2 linked regions of the Lepisosteus oculatus genome follow. The protein of the gene in region 2 interacts with the protein of the main gene of each other region in a biochemical or structural test. Links are inferred from orthologs where the notes say so. Each region holds a gene or a part of one and is shown on either strand. Other genes may lie near its edges.

Evidence for each region.
Region 1: the proteins of ptenb (region 2) and usp13 form a complex in vitro, tested with the Homo sapiens proteins (3 studies listed by BioGRID, with this or other methods). The link is inferred for Lepisosteus oculatus from reciprocal best matches to the Homo sapiens genes PTEN and USP13.

What each region holds. Positions count from the first base shown.
Region 1 is NC_090708.1:1,728,359-1,736,229, forward strand, and holds the start of usp13 (ubiquitin carboxyl-terminal hydrolase 13), read left to right. Parts: upstream 1-4,853; 5' UTR 4,854-4,943; coding exon 4,944-5,054; intron 5,055-7,871. Other genes in the region: ndufb5 (NADH dehydrogenase [ubiquinone] 1 beta subcomplex subunit 5, mitochondrial), read left to right, coding at 1,001-1,107, 1,475-1,595. UniProt on the Homo sapiens protein: Deubiquitinase that mediates deubiquitination of target proteins such as BECN1, MITF, SKP2 and USP10 and is involved in various processes such as autophagy, endoplasmic reticulum-associated degradation (ERAD), cell cycle progression or DNA damage response.
Region 2 is NC_090699.1:21,663,318-21,671,111, reverse strand, and holds the start of ptenb (phosphatidylinositol 3,4,5-trisphosphate 3-phosphatase and dual-specificity protein phosphatase PTEN), read left to right. Parts: upstream 1-4,785; 5' UTR 4,786-5,629; coding exon 5,630-5,708; intron 5,709-7,794. UniProt on the Homo sapiens protein: Dual-specificity protein phosphatase, dephosphorylating tyrosine-, serine- and threonine-phosphorylated proteins.

The DNA of each region.
Region 1 (7,871 bases), on a different chromosome or scaffold from region 2:
TGTGCCAATAGGTGGCACTCTCCCATCTAGACCAGATTTCCAAACTCTCTGAAGTGATATCATGTCAAAAACGGGTCATTGTTCTGTAGGAAGTACCCCTTCAGTCTGAACCCGGGTCTCTGCAGTCCGAAATCCAGTCTGGAATTGGGGACCCCTGAGCTTGAAGGAAAATCGGAGGTTTTGTCAGGACCATGTTGGATATTGTGCAGTAGCAGGGATATTAATCCCCAGTTTGGAGACCAAATATAAAAGGGTTACAAAATCTGTAATACCTGAAGTCCACATCTGTACCTTAATTAAGGTTGATGTCTGTATCCAGCCTCCCCTAGAGACCCATACTAACCAGGTCTTGCTCCGTGGTGAAAGAGGAGTTTAATTGTCACGGAGGATGTGATCGTGAGTTTCACTTTGCCCTGGACACGCCCATGAGGCAGCGCGGGTTGGCTCGGTGTGGTAAACAGTTCCACATGGGGGGTGTGTTGAAGGAATGAGTCTGCTAGTGATAATCTGCTTCGAGCCCCCAGAGTGGCTCATGCTGTGAAGGTGCTCACCTGTCTGCAGGCTGGGCCCCACGATCACGGGTTCGAGCCGGGGGTCACACCACCAGCCCAGCATGACTGGGATTCGCAGAGGGTGGGGTGGGACTGAGTCTGTGGGCACCACAGCGCCTCCTGTGGCCTCCTGGGGCGCTTGCAGGCCTGCGGTGCGGTCAGCGAGGGGACGTGCCTCCTCCAGTCGGCACTGGCCCTGCAGGGCGGGGCGGTGCTGCCTGTGACGTGTTCAAACACGAGGGGCTCAAACGGCCGGGGGGGGGATCCCCCTGCTCTTCCTCACGCTCCCCCGTGTGCAGTCACAGGGCAGCTGGCGATTCTAAACTAGGCGGGCAAAACCAAATTAATCTCTGAAGAGGAAAGCTGACAGTCAGCTTGTAGATGGACCCGTGCAGAACCAAGAGGTTCCTCTGTCCAACGTCCCGGGTCTGTCCGTCTCTCTCCTTCAGCACCCCATCACCCGGTGGATCGTCCGGAACTTCTACGACCCGCCAGAGAAGGACTACGAGAAGATGATGGCTTTGATCCAGATTGAGGCGGAAAAGGCCGAGCTGAGGTCAGTGGCGGCGTGGAGACTGGGGAGCCCCTCCGCTCTCTGAAGCGGCTCCGTGGAGCTTGTCCCCCCTGCTCAGCTCGGCGAGGGGTCTGACTGAGCGGGCTCTCCCTTCTTTGATACTTCAATACTGCCCGTGACATCGAGAAGTAAAATCCCTGTAGCAGTTATTGTTTCATGCCCTTAGCAGACCCCTTGTCATCGTCCTTGTGTTTTGGGGGAGTCCTGGCTGACGTTGGTGTCTGTGTGTGATTGCGCGTGCCTGAGGGGGGCCCCTCGGCCCATCGTTGTTCCGGCTGTCCCGGCGGGGGGCGGGGGGCGGGGGGACCCACTCTCCAAGAGTAACGCGTTGCCTTTGCTTGCGCCACAGGCTGAAGCAGCAGGAGGTGCGCAGGCACATGCGCCAGAAGGGCGACGGGCCCTGGTTCCAGGTGGAGACCATGGACAAGCAGCTGATTGACTACTCCCACAAGGCCACGCCCGACAACTGAGGCAGCGCCGGCCTTCCGCGAGCCGCAGAGACCGCCGCCTGCTCGCCCGCTCGGCGGGGGCATGCCAGTAATTTATCCCCTGTATATGTTTGTATAATAATGCTCTGGCTTTAAATAAAGCCTTTTCAATGTTTCAGCTTTGTTTAAGAGTGCTGTTTAAAACTGTGATCCCCTGTGGTCCCTGTCCTGCTGACCCGGTTCTGCTCCATCCAAACCCTCAGGTCTACAGTCAAGTCTTCATTCACTTAATATGGGGCGGAGCGGTGGCTCTGTGGCTAGGGATCTGCCTGTGGCTGGAAGGTTGCTGGTTTGTTACCTTAATCCATTGAGCGCCTGAGCAAGGGCCTTAACTCCAACTGCTCCAGGGGCGCTGTATAAACGGCTGACCCTACCCTCTGACCCCCAGCTTCTCTCCCTGTCTGTGTGTCTCATGGAGAGCAAGCTGGGGTCTGCGAAAAGACAAATTCCTAACACAAGAAATTGTATACGGCCAATAAAGTGATCTTATCTTAATAGTTAATTTGAACTGTGTCCAACTCTTACACACATTCAAGCTTTAACCAACATTGCCTTTTTCGAGAGATTTACATTCTCAAGCTTGTGACTACTAACAACACGCCAATGTTGAACTGGAGCAGCTCCTTGTTGATCCAGTAAGGCCTCAGTTATCTGCTGGAGGTGGGAGGGACTGAAACCCAGCAGGTGTGGGGCTCACCAGGACCAGCACTGGGATCTACTAGATTAAAGAGAGAAAACTATTCATTTTAAAAAGATTTAGAACGTTTCCTTTCATTTTTGAGCTGGTCATTTTTTTTTCTCCCAGGAAGTGATGGCAGTTTTGTCTTTGTGTTCTTAAGGAGATGGCCACCTGCTCTGCCCACATGTCTTTTGTCAATTAGATGTGATGCTCAGGGTCTATTACAGGGGTGCCCAACCTTTTTTTTTTAATGAAAGATTTACTTTTTCATGTGCCAGTCCCGCGCGAACTACCAGTGTGAATTTGAAGCTCTGATATAGGAAAAACAGACTGTGGACACATCAGTACAATAACTATACCCATCACTAAAATGACAGCAATTAAAAGCAAGTGACTCAGGCTACAGTGAACAAGTCATGTTCCCCATTTTAGAAAAAAAATATCCTACCTTCATGTCAGCATTGACACTGAGAAGCTTACTTGAGGACACTTGTAATCGTTTTTTTGAGCGTGTTGACACTGCTGATCGTGTCGAAGACACTTTTATTGTGTCCCTGCAGCTCGACATTCAGCTCATTCGGCAGTTCAGTCAAGTCTGGGAGGACTGCTAAGCCCAGAAGCCACTGGTCGCCCTCTCATTGGGCACATTCACCGTGTTTAGACTATTTGAGAAACTCTCATTTCAGGCAATAGCTGTCTGTCTGTGAAATCTCCAAACAGCAAGTCAGCAGCAGCGATGATTGCTGGTTTCCCTCCAGTGTTAGGCCACGTTAAAACCAACTGCCGCTAGTTGAGATTTTAATTTTTCAACTTTTTTCCGTAACTCACTTTTAGTGGGGAAAGCACACATCTTACATTTTGTGTGCAGTTTTGAAATGTGGTTCTCTTGTTTCCCTTTTTCGCGTAGACGCTAGCTTTGCAGATTTGAATGCGAAAGTACAAAAAAATAATCGCGCCCCCATTCCTCGTGGTGAGGGTAAGTCTTCGGGCTCTTTGCTTCATCGTATTCGCTCAAACACTACAACTATCATAAAAAGGGCAATCTAACTCCTCAAACTGTTGGCGAATTTGTCACGGCCATTTGTCTGGTTCGCTCCACCATGTGCTGTGGCGAATGTGGGGTTCGTGCAGCAATAGCCAAGGGAGGGGTCTCGGGGAGCCCACCCAACACTACAGAGCACCTGTAGCCTTTTCTTCAGTGTGGGCCAGCACTCAGGGAAGAGACTCTTACAACCCATTCCACAAGGGTTAAGCACAAGCAAGGGCAGTAAAATGTATGACATTACATGCACAGATCTGAATGAATTTTTAGGCTATCTAAAAAAGTAGTCAAATAGCCCATTTATTTGATACCACACATTCTTGCGATCGACTGGTTGGGCACCCCCTGGTCAATTACCCAAGAAATGCAAAACAGGCACTTAGAACTGATCTTTACTTTATCCGAGGAGAGCGACACTCTGGAAAGCTCGATAATCCAAAAAGATCATCATTAACACACAACTGAGTGAGAGAAGCCCTAAACCAGACTCGTGGTTGTGGCGCTGAAGCTGTGAGATGCTGCTGTCTGGTTGGTCACTGGCTTTCTTTGTCTGGTGTCCAAGACATTTCTGGGAAAGCAGTCTGCTCCTCTGTGTGATCAGCAGGAAACAGGTGAATATCGGGTCGGATGTGAAATTTTCATGCAGCTCGTAACAAGCCCTGTCCCCACGCCCACCTTGGACTCGACGTCTGATCCACCCGAGGTTCAGCAGAATCGATTTACACTTTCATATATGTTCGGTGCTTTAAAAGACGTGTTGACTTCAGGTCAGCCGGGTCCGAGGAAGCGGAGTCGATTCGGGGCGTGTTCGTCCAGTCCATCTGAAGGTCTGCTCTCTTTGGGGGGGCGTAATTCGCACAAAGGACAATCGGGTATTTAAGATAAAAAAAAGGTCGAACGCTGTTTTACAAAACACCTTATACGGGCAGGTCATCTTACCCCCCACCTCACGTGAGCTAATCGCTAATCAATGACCAGTGACCGCGATGAAGGAGTTAAAAAAATTGTAACATATCCTCCGTTAGAACCTCTTGCCTCTTTATAACCTTCTTACCTGCTTTATTCGTCGGGTTTCAGCACCGTCCGGCGCTGCTATATTGTATATTGTCGCATAACCCCGCCATGCGGAATTTGCAACCTCATCTGAGCGGTGACCAATTTCGTTTTGAAGCTTTAAAGGACCGTTTCCACGCCGCGGGCGGGCGGGCTTCGTCGGTTTTGTCACGCACCGTCGCCAAATTGATTACAAACGCCGAAACCTCGAGTCTCCTTTCAAACGACGCGCCTCCGCCGGGGAAGGTGGGAGACGCGGAATTGGGTAAATTGACAGTCGGCAGCGCCAAATTCACGGCGAAACAGAAATCGATGTAAACCCAATAGGGGGGTTAAGAAATACCGCCCGAGCACCTAATATATATATATACGTTCAATTTTAATCTCGCTCTCCTCCTCCCCCCTCGCTTCACAGCGTCACTCTCCCGGATCCTGCAGGAATGTCGGGTCTGTGTTCATTTAAAAATAGCATCATGTGCTAGCTGCTCTCCCAGACTTCCAGCTCCGTCTCCCTCGCTCGCGGTAGCATTCTGGGGCTGGAGGCAGGAATGCGAAGATGGCTGCAGACTTGGGAGAGCTGCTGGTCCCGTACATGCCCACCATCCGAGTCCCCAGGACCGGGGACCGGGTTTTCAAGAGCGAGTGCGCCTTCTCCTACGACTCCCCAGTAAGTGCTCGGCGGTGCCGCGCAGGCGGCCGTGCGGCCCCGCTGGACACACGTGAACCGCGCTGCGCACGGAGGGGGACCGGGGGTCCGTGTCCGTGTCCGTGTCCACCATTCTCTCGACCAGCTCGCAGCGCCGGCTGAAATAACTCACCCCGTCCTGCCCTCCCGGTCTCCCTGCCTTGAGCACTGCTAAGACGGCGGTTGTGCGATTCTCGGTTATCCCACCCCCCTAACAGTCTTTGGTTTTCGAGTGCGGGCACAGCTTTGAGTCCAAACTTCCTCCGCGGAGAGAGAGAGAGAGGGTTTTTCAGCACTGCCGCCGGAATGCGGTAGGGATCTGTAACTTCACGCATGCAGACTATAATGCGTTTTTTTTATTTTTGAGAGAGGCGCAGACAGCTTCCCCGAGTCGGTTTTGTTTTTGCTTTGTGATTTGTGATTTGACAGCGCCCTGCTCGTAAAGATTGAACGCTTTTCGAAAACGGGTCATCCGCAGCGCTTCTTCTGGGCTCAAATTTTCCTGGAGTGAGGGAGCCCCAAAGACGTGCCCGTTTCGTGTCTGGGCTGGCGAAACCCGCGTTCGCCTGCTCTTAGACGCGAAACAAGGCATGTGTTCTAGTTCTTCAGTATACAGCGGTGTAATGTCACCTTTTGTTGCAAAATGTCACGCTGAACATGAACGCTGAAAGGGACAGCATTTCCAGAGGAGCAAGGGAGGAGCAAGATTTAACCTTCAGGAACCACGTGTTGGGGAATATTAACCAAAACCAACACTTTATATAAGTCAGTTCAGTTTCTTGTGTTTTTAAGGACGTTGCCCTAACTTTCTATGTATTATTTTATAAGCTGGGGCAGATTTAAAGGTGACTCAGCTGTCAGGTACTCCTCATGTCGGCTGGAAAGCCTGGGCTATTTTTAATCTCTTTTTCAAATGGCTCATGTGTCGCCCACCCAACTCCATTAACCCTGGGGTCTCGTCCAGCTCGTCCAGCCTATCGCCACGAGGGACAGAAAGGAGAAAAAAAAACGATTGCGATGTTGTTTCCTTTACAAAAGAAACTTTAAAAAAAACTCGCAAGTCTTTTCTACCACAGGAGACTAGGACACATTAGAATAAATTAAGATGATTTCGGATGTATGGTGTAGTTAATTCGATAACTTCTCCTGTCCGGCCTTGTCTTGGTTACCAGGAGGGATTTATACTGAAACGCACATTACTGTGGGCTGTAAATCCTGTGGTAATCTGCTGAGGGCTTCACACCTGAGTTGCTGTTTTTTTAAATGTATGTTGTGGTTTCTATTGTAGGATTGAGCAGGTGCTCCTGGTTCTTTTTAAATGACAGGTGTTTCTTGGGTTTCGCTGAGATAAAAACATTCACAGTGGGCTGGAACAGATGTCTTGTAGCCACAACGTGTCCATGCGCTCATCCAGCCCTCTGGAAAAGAGTTGGTCAGGCACACTTTTCTGTTTTATAACAGGAGGACTGTTTTATTTCTAGAATGATTTAGGCACTTAAATCTCTGATACATATTCCTCTGCAGAATGAGGCACATTTACTGTCTAACTCAGCAAAGTTTCTTTGCATGTCAGCTGACTCTGAGCTAAGTGTTATGAGTTTTCATTCATCGTCCATCTGAAAATTTATCGATGAAGTCAACCCAGCAGACATCTTGAAAAGCGACCAGTGAAACCTGAATGGGTGCACCTGAGTGGAACTGTGAGTTTCCCCACTCTGATATTGAAGTTGGAAATGGCTGTAGCTCTGCTACATGGAAAATGGCTGAATTGATTGAATTAAGGTTTGACAACACCGACGTCTCCGCTTCTCAGTGGCCTTAAGCTGCTGATGAAGAGACAGAGGCGAGACAGGTTCCAGATTCCAGGAGGTTAAGTGCCAAACTAAACAGTTGGTCTTTCTTATAAATCTGTGTTGACTGTTTATTACAATCTGATTTCTAGACAGGTGATCCTCTCCTTTCGTTCTGAAACCATTTCCGTAACGTTTCATGTGCCGGGTGCTGGGTGTGGTGGTCAGTAATTTCCCCGAGTCAGTGTTTGTCACCCTCTGAGGGATGTGTGCTACGCTGCAGTACAGACCTTTGTCCTTCCGCTGCCGGAGGCCTGTTGTTGACGTCTTCTTCAGTGAATACTTGAATGAAATGCTCATTTAGTACATCAAGTTTCAAGTTCAAGTTTCAAGTTTATTGTCATTACACTCATATACATGGTATATGGTATAACGAAATGCTATTTAGCTAGCTCTCGGACATAAGTAGTACAAAGAGAAAAACAACAACAACAACAATACAATTGTGTAGCAAAAGAAAGACAGAGACAACAGGCAGTGTGCAAAAAACAATAACAGGCAATGTGCAAAACAACAACAAGGTAACAGGTTATGTGCAAAAATCTGCATCAACAGAATAAAATAAAGGGATAGAAATTAAATTACATCAGCCCCTGTCTAGAAGTTTCCTATTATTGTCTCGGGTATATTTTACTTCATCCTTGACATTTCTTTACCTGCTGTAACACTGAAGGAGCTCTTTATTCACCTTTTACTTTTTAGCTTCCATTAGAATATTCTTTTCAATTCTCTCTTGGCCTTTCTAATATCCTTTTACCCATGTGTTTGCAATTGATTGTGCTGCCTTACCTTAGCTAGATCCTGTTGTTTTTTTAATTGTTTCTCAGAGCACATTCTTTTCCTTTATTTTTCTAAGCCATTTGTTGAATCTTTCGGGATGGGATGTCATTTTTTGGCTCTTTCTCCAGTTCCGGGAGAGATTGAGTTCTGTGCTTGAAGCAGAATCTCT
Region 2 (7,794 bases):
CCAGTAGCTGTGGTCCTGCTATCACAGGGAAGGGCGGTGACGTCACCCGCTCTGGTACGCCGGCTCTTACACAGTGCCTGTCGGCCGTAAGCGTTACAATACTATAATTATTTACGTCACCTGTAGATCTGAAGTTCAAATACGAAACCCACCTCTCCTCAATTCACTTACATTTTGTAAAGAACATAAGAAACAGGTGACGTTTTAATCTCGACGATATTTAAATTTAGAATTGCACTAACTTCAAAAATGTGTTGCCCATGTTACGCCACTGACTGTCAGTACAGGCGTACAGTATATGCGTGGAGTGTGCCGAAATAAAGTCTGAGCTCTTCAAACTCTACTGGTCACAGGTTTTAAAAATCAGGAAAATCTATAATTAGAGCATAGCATTCATATACAGTAGATATATTCATACATATTATGCACATACAGTACATTAATATACAGACACCTATAGAAGGCTCCACAGCCAAAACGGTGTCTCTTTTCTTTTCAGCACGGAATAAACCTTTACTTGTTCCTTCATATACAGCATATGTGCATTCATACACATACAGTACATGATACAACAATATGATACAGTTATTTACGTTTTGTAAATATAAATATAAAATCTGTACTATTTTACTTTATACTATATAATATATAGCAATATAGTGTATATACTACATATAACAATTCAGTTTTGATCTATCAGATTATTTAATTTTATATTGTACACCACACATTCTTGAAGAAAGAAAATCAAAGTATGATTATCTGAACATTTGCATAAGTGAGTTAGATGTTGTACATATACAATATAATTTTTTATGATCATCTTTTTTTATGTTCCTGCTGTAGTGTTGACATATCTTTTCTGAACCTGCTAATCACATGGAAACCAGTCAATGTATTTAAGCAGAAAAGTCACATTATGGCATAATTGCTCACCAACAAAAAAATAACCTGTGTGTTCTGAGCTTGGGCAGCACTGCGACATGGTTGGTGAACTTTTTCTTCTTCACAGCTGTTGCGGTTCTGGGTTTGATTCCGCCTTCTGTGTGGAGTTTGCATGTTCTGCCTTCTGCAAGAGCAACTGTTCTCCTGCCATTTCCCCCAAAACATGCTGATAGTGGTTAACTCTAAGTCATTCTTGTGTGTGCCCTGCAGTGGGCTGGTCAGGGTATGGTCCTGCCTTGTGATCTCTGCTACCAGCTTCTGCTAAAGGTTGCCACAGCCCTTACCACGTACAAGTCCATGTATGATGAGGGAACTTCTCAATGGCATTTCCTTTAATTGTTTACTACACAGAAGAAAAGTCCAGACAATTTCATGCAAACTGTTAATATTTTAAGATAACTGACAAGTATTCATAAATAGAAATAGTTTTATATAATATGATGCATGTAAACCACTTTTAAAGCCAGGTGTTAAAGGTTTTACAAAGTTCAAATCAATAAAGTGACAATAAAGAGATTTCATGTCAGAGACATAATTCACTAAATGCAATGCCTTCTCAGTCCCCAAAGCAGCTGATAGGAATGATAGGAAGGCCTTATAGTATAAAAATATTTCCAATAAGCTTTCCTGAGGATCAGTTCATCTGAGCCATGGTGTTCCAGGTAATCCCATTTAAATACACTAATTGTACTTTGAGTATTAACTAGGCACTGAAATGATAATTACAGAGGAAAACAGCCACTGTATAATCTGTATTAGATTTTTTTACAAATAAAGTTGAAAGAAAAATGCAAATGCTAACATGAGTTTCCTTTTCTTTGCTAATCAGAGATTTAAAGAAATCCAATAAATTTAGTCAAAACAGTAAATCTTCCCATTTTGACCATGCCAATACCAAACCACGCAATTCCCTATTAGGGGTCGGTAATGATTAATGATAAAATTTCAACATTTGTTCCACTGGGACTCAACAACTACTGTATCTCTCAGTCTGGTTATTTTTCAAACTACTGATATGGCTTATATTCAGCTTTTCCTAAATAAGATGAAGAGCCAATCTAAAAATATAGTCTGAAAAGCTTTGCATCTAAATCTTAGATCATTCTGTTTCTCTTTTAGGGTTTGAATATAGTTTCTTCTAAGAGCTGAGAGAGCACAGAAAATACTTAACAGCAGCTGTTCACAAAATGCACTGAGATTGACCTGCATTTAATACAGATAAAAGTTCTGATGGTTTTGATCTTATTAGATAACATTAAAATAATTTTTGCTGCTTAATACAGAAGTGTCAAATATGACCTTCAATTAGAACTGTTCTTGTACCATGGCTAATAACCTTCAATTAAGTGGCCTATGGTGGCTATGAAAATAATAGAGAAGATCTTGACATGTCTAGACATGAACAGGTGAGCTGTAGTATTGCCTTAGTCAGTCATAGCTGTCTCAGATGATTTACCGAACATGCAAAAAAAGAAATGTTATAGTATCAACCTTACACATATATATGTTAAGATCCCTATGAATTGCGTCTATATGCAAAACATGTTTTGTGTCCTCTATGGAAAACATTTTGTCCTTCATGGTTTCTTGTGGATTTTTGACACGATTTTCATACCTTTGGATATCCCTCTGGCAAAGCCTGGAACACGCTGTTGAAGCCAATAACCTGACTTCATTCAAAAATGTCTGGCTGAGACCTCTGGATTGTCTACTATCAAATGGGCTTGATGGGTTGAATGACCTTGTCTTGTTTGGGTTTTTTTTAGGTTCATCAATGAGGTCTACATTCCCATAATGCATATTAGAGAATTATGAAGATGTACAAATCTCTTTCCACTTTATTTGGTGATTTGTCTGTACGCTTGATTTGCAAAACCTAAAACAAGTATTTGAAAAACAAGTTTCTCTGTGCTCCTTTCCATGTAATTAGGACTTCTGAATTTCCTCAGACGGGAAACTCAGAAAGAACATACCAGCTGAGCAAGTAAAACAATGTCCTTGATAATTCAGAAAGCTCTTCTATCAGCAGGGTTTTCCAACTTTTTTGCCTACCTGCATGGCTTTCACAAGGTCAGGGTGTTTCCTGTGTATTAGTGAATTGGTATTCCATTTATATACAGTATCATTTTTTTTTCAGATCTCAGCTACATTTGATAAAGGTCTTTTAGGTAGTACTGGAAATCAATTTAAATGCTGTGAGTTACATTCTTGAATGGCAGTTTTTGAGAATCATTGTTTTTTATTTTAAAGTTATAACGTCACATGGATTTGTGTTAGCCTACAAATACTCCCATCTCACTATGAGAGCAAAAATGAGTTATCAGCTTGTAAACAGTTTTTGTTCCAGAAAAGCCAAGGTGGGAATATGAAAAATGAATTTCTCACATCAAAAAAAATGATATAGCAATTTATTGCCATATAGTAGTGCAAGCACTTCCATAGGTTAAAAGAATTTAGCAACTGATAATGATCAGTCTCTAGATAAAAATATCAGTTTATTTACATTTATTTTAAACGTGCTTATACACAAGCAGTTTAAGTTTAAATAAATTGTAGAATGGTTGCATTTTGATTTGTTTTATAAATTCTCTCAGTTTGTTTGCAATAACTAATTCTCAACAAAAAAGGATTGTTTAAGTCCAACTGGTATAAAAGTGATAAATAAACATTACTGAACAATTGGATTAAACTTTTCTGACATTAATGTTTGCATGTTTAGTTGTTGTCTGCATGATTCCCATAATGTAACCCCTTATATTTGATATATTTGACATATAAAGTATTCCCATCCTAACACTAACCCCAAGCAACACAAACCTTAAACTTGCATTTATAAGTTATTGTAACCAAGGAACATGGAGTAATGGTGTTTTCACTTCAAATAATAAATACTGTAGGCGAATGCAGATCTAAAACATTTACTGGTTTATTTATGTTTTCTTTCTCTAGCTATAAAAAATAACAATACAATGCCAAAAGAAACAATTGAAAACAAATCTAAAAATTAAGCCAAAGTCTCTTCAACCACAGTAAGGACCTTAACATATTTTATTTGTGCTCTTAACAGGTGCTGGGACTAGCGTTTTAGACATGTTTAGCTAACAACGTCAAGAGATAACGTTCCCACATCGCTTTAAAGTCTTTAACACGTCAAACCAGTGAGATTCTTGACCCCGTCAAACTCCAGGACAGGAAAAAGCAGCCGGTCTTGTTTCAACGTGTCATTCCCGTATAACCTGAAAGGTGGCGCCATGGCATAAGTCTTTACCCCTATGTCGTTCACTAGAACGTTCTACAAAAAATAAAACCCAAATAACGAGTATGTGCTTTTAAAGCACATCTCTTGGACCTCGGACTGTAGATGTATAGGTTCATGTCTCTATTTTATTTTTTGGACTTATATATATTATATGCTGGAAGACAGTGCCACAGATGACTGTGTGTGCTACTAAGTGACACGCCTGGCTTGGACTGGTTTACTTGATCTGATTTTACTTTTCTTGCTTGCGTAAGCACTTTACAAGTTGTACTGGGTGTCACTGCTAGCTAAGTTATCTGTGATTTTTTTTTCATTGATGCCATTTATTTTCGTTATTATGTAATGTTTTTGTTCCTCGCTCACACAGAACACTTCGCAGACGCTTGTAATAATTATCTCTGATAGACTTCAGAAACAATTGGACGTTTTTACGTATGTCAGCAAATCCCTGGCCTCCTAATTGTAAAAAAAGAACCTCAATTATTAGCGCGAAGCAAAGAAATAAAATATTGGAAACTTCCCCAATTACCAGCACACGTGACCTGCCCTTGGCAGAGAGGAGAGTTTCCCTGCGGTGTGCCTGTGTGTCCTTCCGCCCTCACTGTAGCCGCTAGTAGTATGTCAACGAGGCGCACTACGTCGGGTTTAAATGCGAAATATTTATTTTCGGGACACATTTTTCCGTTGCCGGTTTCTCTGTTGCGTGATCGGGACACCTGCGATTAAAGCGGTGGTAAAATCACAGCCACAGCAGGACTATTTGTGCACGGCGGCAGGATATATGGTGTAACCCAGTTTGTCTTTTTCTCTCGGAAGCCATGATGGAACTTTAGAGTTTTTTTTGCTGGAGAGGACGGAAAAAAAGGAAGGAAGATCGTCTCTATATATATTAAAATATTTTAAGCCCCTTTTATTATATATATTTTTTAAATTTTAAGGTGGAGGCTGTCAGTTTTTTTTCCCTGGTGTTTTGGACGAGGACGAGGATATTGTGTGCTTGGAGGGTTTCTGGGGGGGGGGGGGGATTTTAATATATATATTTTGTGTGTGTCTTGTCACAATTTTTCGGGGTTATTTTTTCGGGATCGCTGGAGAGGCTTTCTCTCCGCTTTTCTTCGCCTCAATCACGGCGGCGGCGGCGGATCTAGAGACTTGGGCCGTATTTGAAAGCTCACGGTTCGGGAACTGGGGGATCGCGGGAGAGATTGCGGGATCGGGGAAGCCGGGCCCGCGGAGGAGCGGCGAGAGGAGGCCCTGCCAGCAGCCATTCTAGTCCAGCCCGCAGCCGCAGGCAGCCGCCACACTCGGGCAACTGCGAGACCCGGGGAGCGAGCGGGGGAGACCGGGGGACGGCCCTTTCCACAGCCCGGGGAGGCAACGATACCCTCTCTTAACATACAAGCCCTAAAGACTCCTTTCACGGCGATGGCTGCGATCATCAAAGAAATCGTCAGCAGAAACAAAAGGAGATACCAGGAAGATGGATTCGACTTGGACTTGACCTGTATCCATTTTATACATATTTTAAGTATGCATATACATGCATGCGTGTCGGCATTTTAAACATTATTCTTAGGTATAGGGGGCTGAGATCCGATTCATGTTGAGTGGAATATAATGTTTTTGAGTCGAGGTCTTTTTTTAAATAGAGGTAAGTGGGATGTGGACGAGATCTGGATAGTTGCAGCTCTTATGGCCGGAGAGCTTTCACATTTCGCTGTAAGTGGACATTAAAACGGTTCCTGATCGCACTGGAGCATTGTGCGGGTAAAACGCCGTTTTCTTTCAGAAAAAGCGGCGCGGATGTGCGTTTTAGTGCGGTGGAGAAGCGATAAATGAAACGGAAAAGGAGCCCATTCTCTTTCGCAGTGTGACGAGGTCTTGGCCTAGATAAGGGAATGGATTAGATTAAATTCAAAATCACTGCTACACAAAGAGACATTGCATCAGCAACCTGCAGAAAACCAGTAGGTACGTGTCTCTGTATTGTGTGGCCAAATTAAATGCTTAAAGGTCTGGAAATATGCTGTCATTTAGCCAGAATCGAGGTTGATAAACGTGTGGTGGGGGTGGGGGTAGGTTTGGCTAATTTAGCCAGCGAGAAGAAATGTGTTGTAAAATATGCGTAGATGTCGTCTTTAGTAAGTCTTAGAATTGCAAATAGCGGGTTTATAATCGGTGTGGGTTTAAAAAGATGGATGTGTTGCCTACGGTCAGTAAAACACGGAAAGGATCAATTTAAAATAATCGGCGGTGGATTTATATATCGACAGGGACCCTTTCCAGTCTGTCGTCGTGTTTTCCAAAAGGTGGCTAAACATTCATGTCGTGTCGTTTGGGAATGTCATTTCACAGCTTGGCATCGGCGGTCTGTGAGTATCTGTGGGTCCAGCAGGTAAACCGTGCGGCTCCCATCCCCAGGCCTGCTGCCTTGGGTACCTCCTCGACAGAAACGCGGTTGACTTGACACTTCCACTAGCAGGGCGAAAACATCTATCGATTATCAGCGAGGTCCTCCGGGCACATCATCACCGGCGATGGCAGAGGCGTTTGATCTTGTTTAAATTCTCTTGTCTGTGGAACGAGAAATGATCTTTGCGTTTTCTCAGTAGTTAATGTGCATCGCTCCTTTAGGTAGATCTGGATTACGATGAGTGCATTTTCAGGTAATTATAGGTGAAGTGCTGCAGTACTGCTATAAAGTGCTCCACTTTGTTAACGGTAAAACTGATTTTGCGGATAGTTGAATTAGAGGCTGGATAGCACCACGGACCTATATGTAATTGGATACCTAAAGCTGCTTTTCCTTCAGGTTAGTGGTACTTTCCAGGCCAAACAGTAGGCCAAGACTGTGCTTCAATCACATATGTACAGTAGTCTCGCAAAAGGCAAGGCATTACCACTCTTCCTACAAGAAGTTTACCACAGACTGTTATAGAGACATGAAGTGCTTTTTTCTTTTTAGATTGAGTTGCAAACACATTTCTTGGTTTCCAGTGTAGTGAGGAGAGACAGAGATGGGATCAGTCCGAATCCCCATAAGCAGAGAAAATCACAGGCCTTGCTTTCCACTAAGACAGCAGGGGCACTGAGCAGAGACCTGCTTGTCTCGCCAGCTGGATACTGAATCCTGGCTCCTGGCTGTACTATTGGGGCATGCCTTGACATAATCAAAATACTATGTACATAATTCGACACTTGTCTGCTCCTCAGTTTAGTTATGACAGTCTTTGTTGGAATTAGACATTGTCGACAGGAACGGTTTTCAATCAATGTGAAATTTCTTCCAGTTGTTGAAAGACATGGTTGGAGCTTAGCATTTTGTTTTTCTCAGATTTGTTCTTCTATGAAATTGGTTTTCACCATGCACATGAGTATAAAGAAAGAACACACAGGCCTTGTAATGAGTTCTAGAAATAGGTTTTGTGCTGTAGGCAGATGCATAAATTTCCACTGTATTTTGGTTTAAATGAATTACTAATTCCCACAGTCTCCAAAAAAGCTATTAACTGCTGAACAGCTGTAAAAATGTTGATGGTATTACAAGGCGTCTTTCAGACCTTTAGGAACCTTTTGTGGGCCTCAAACTA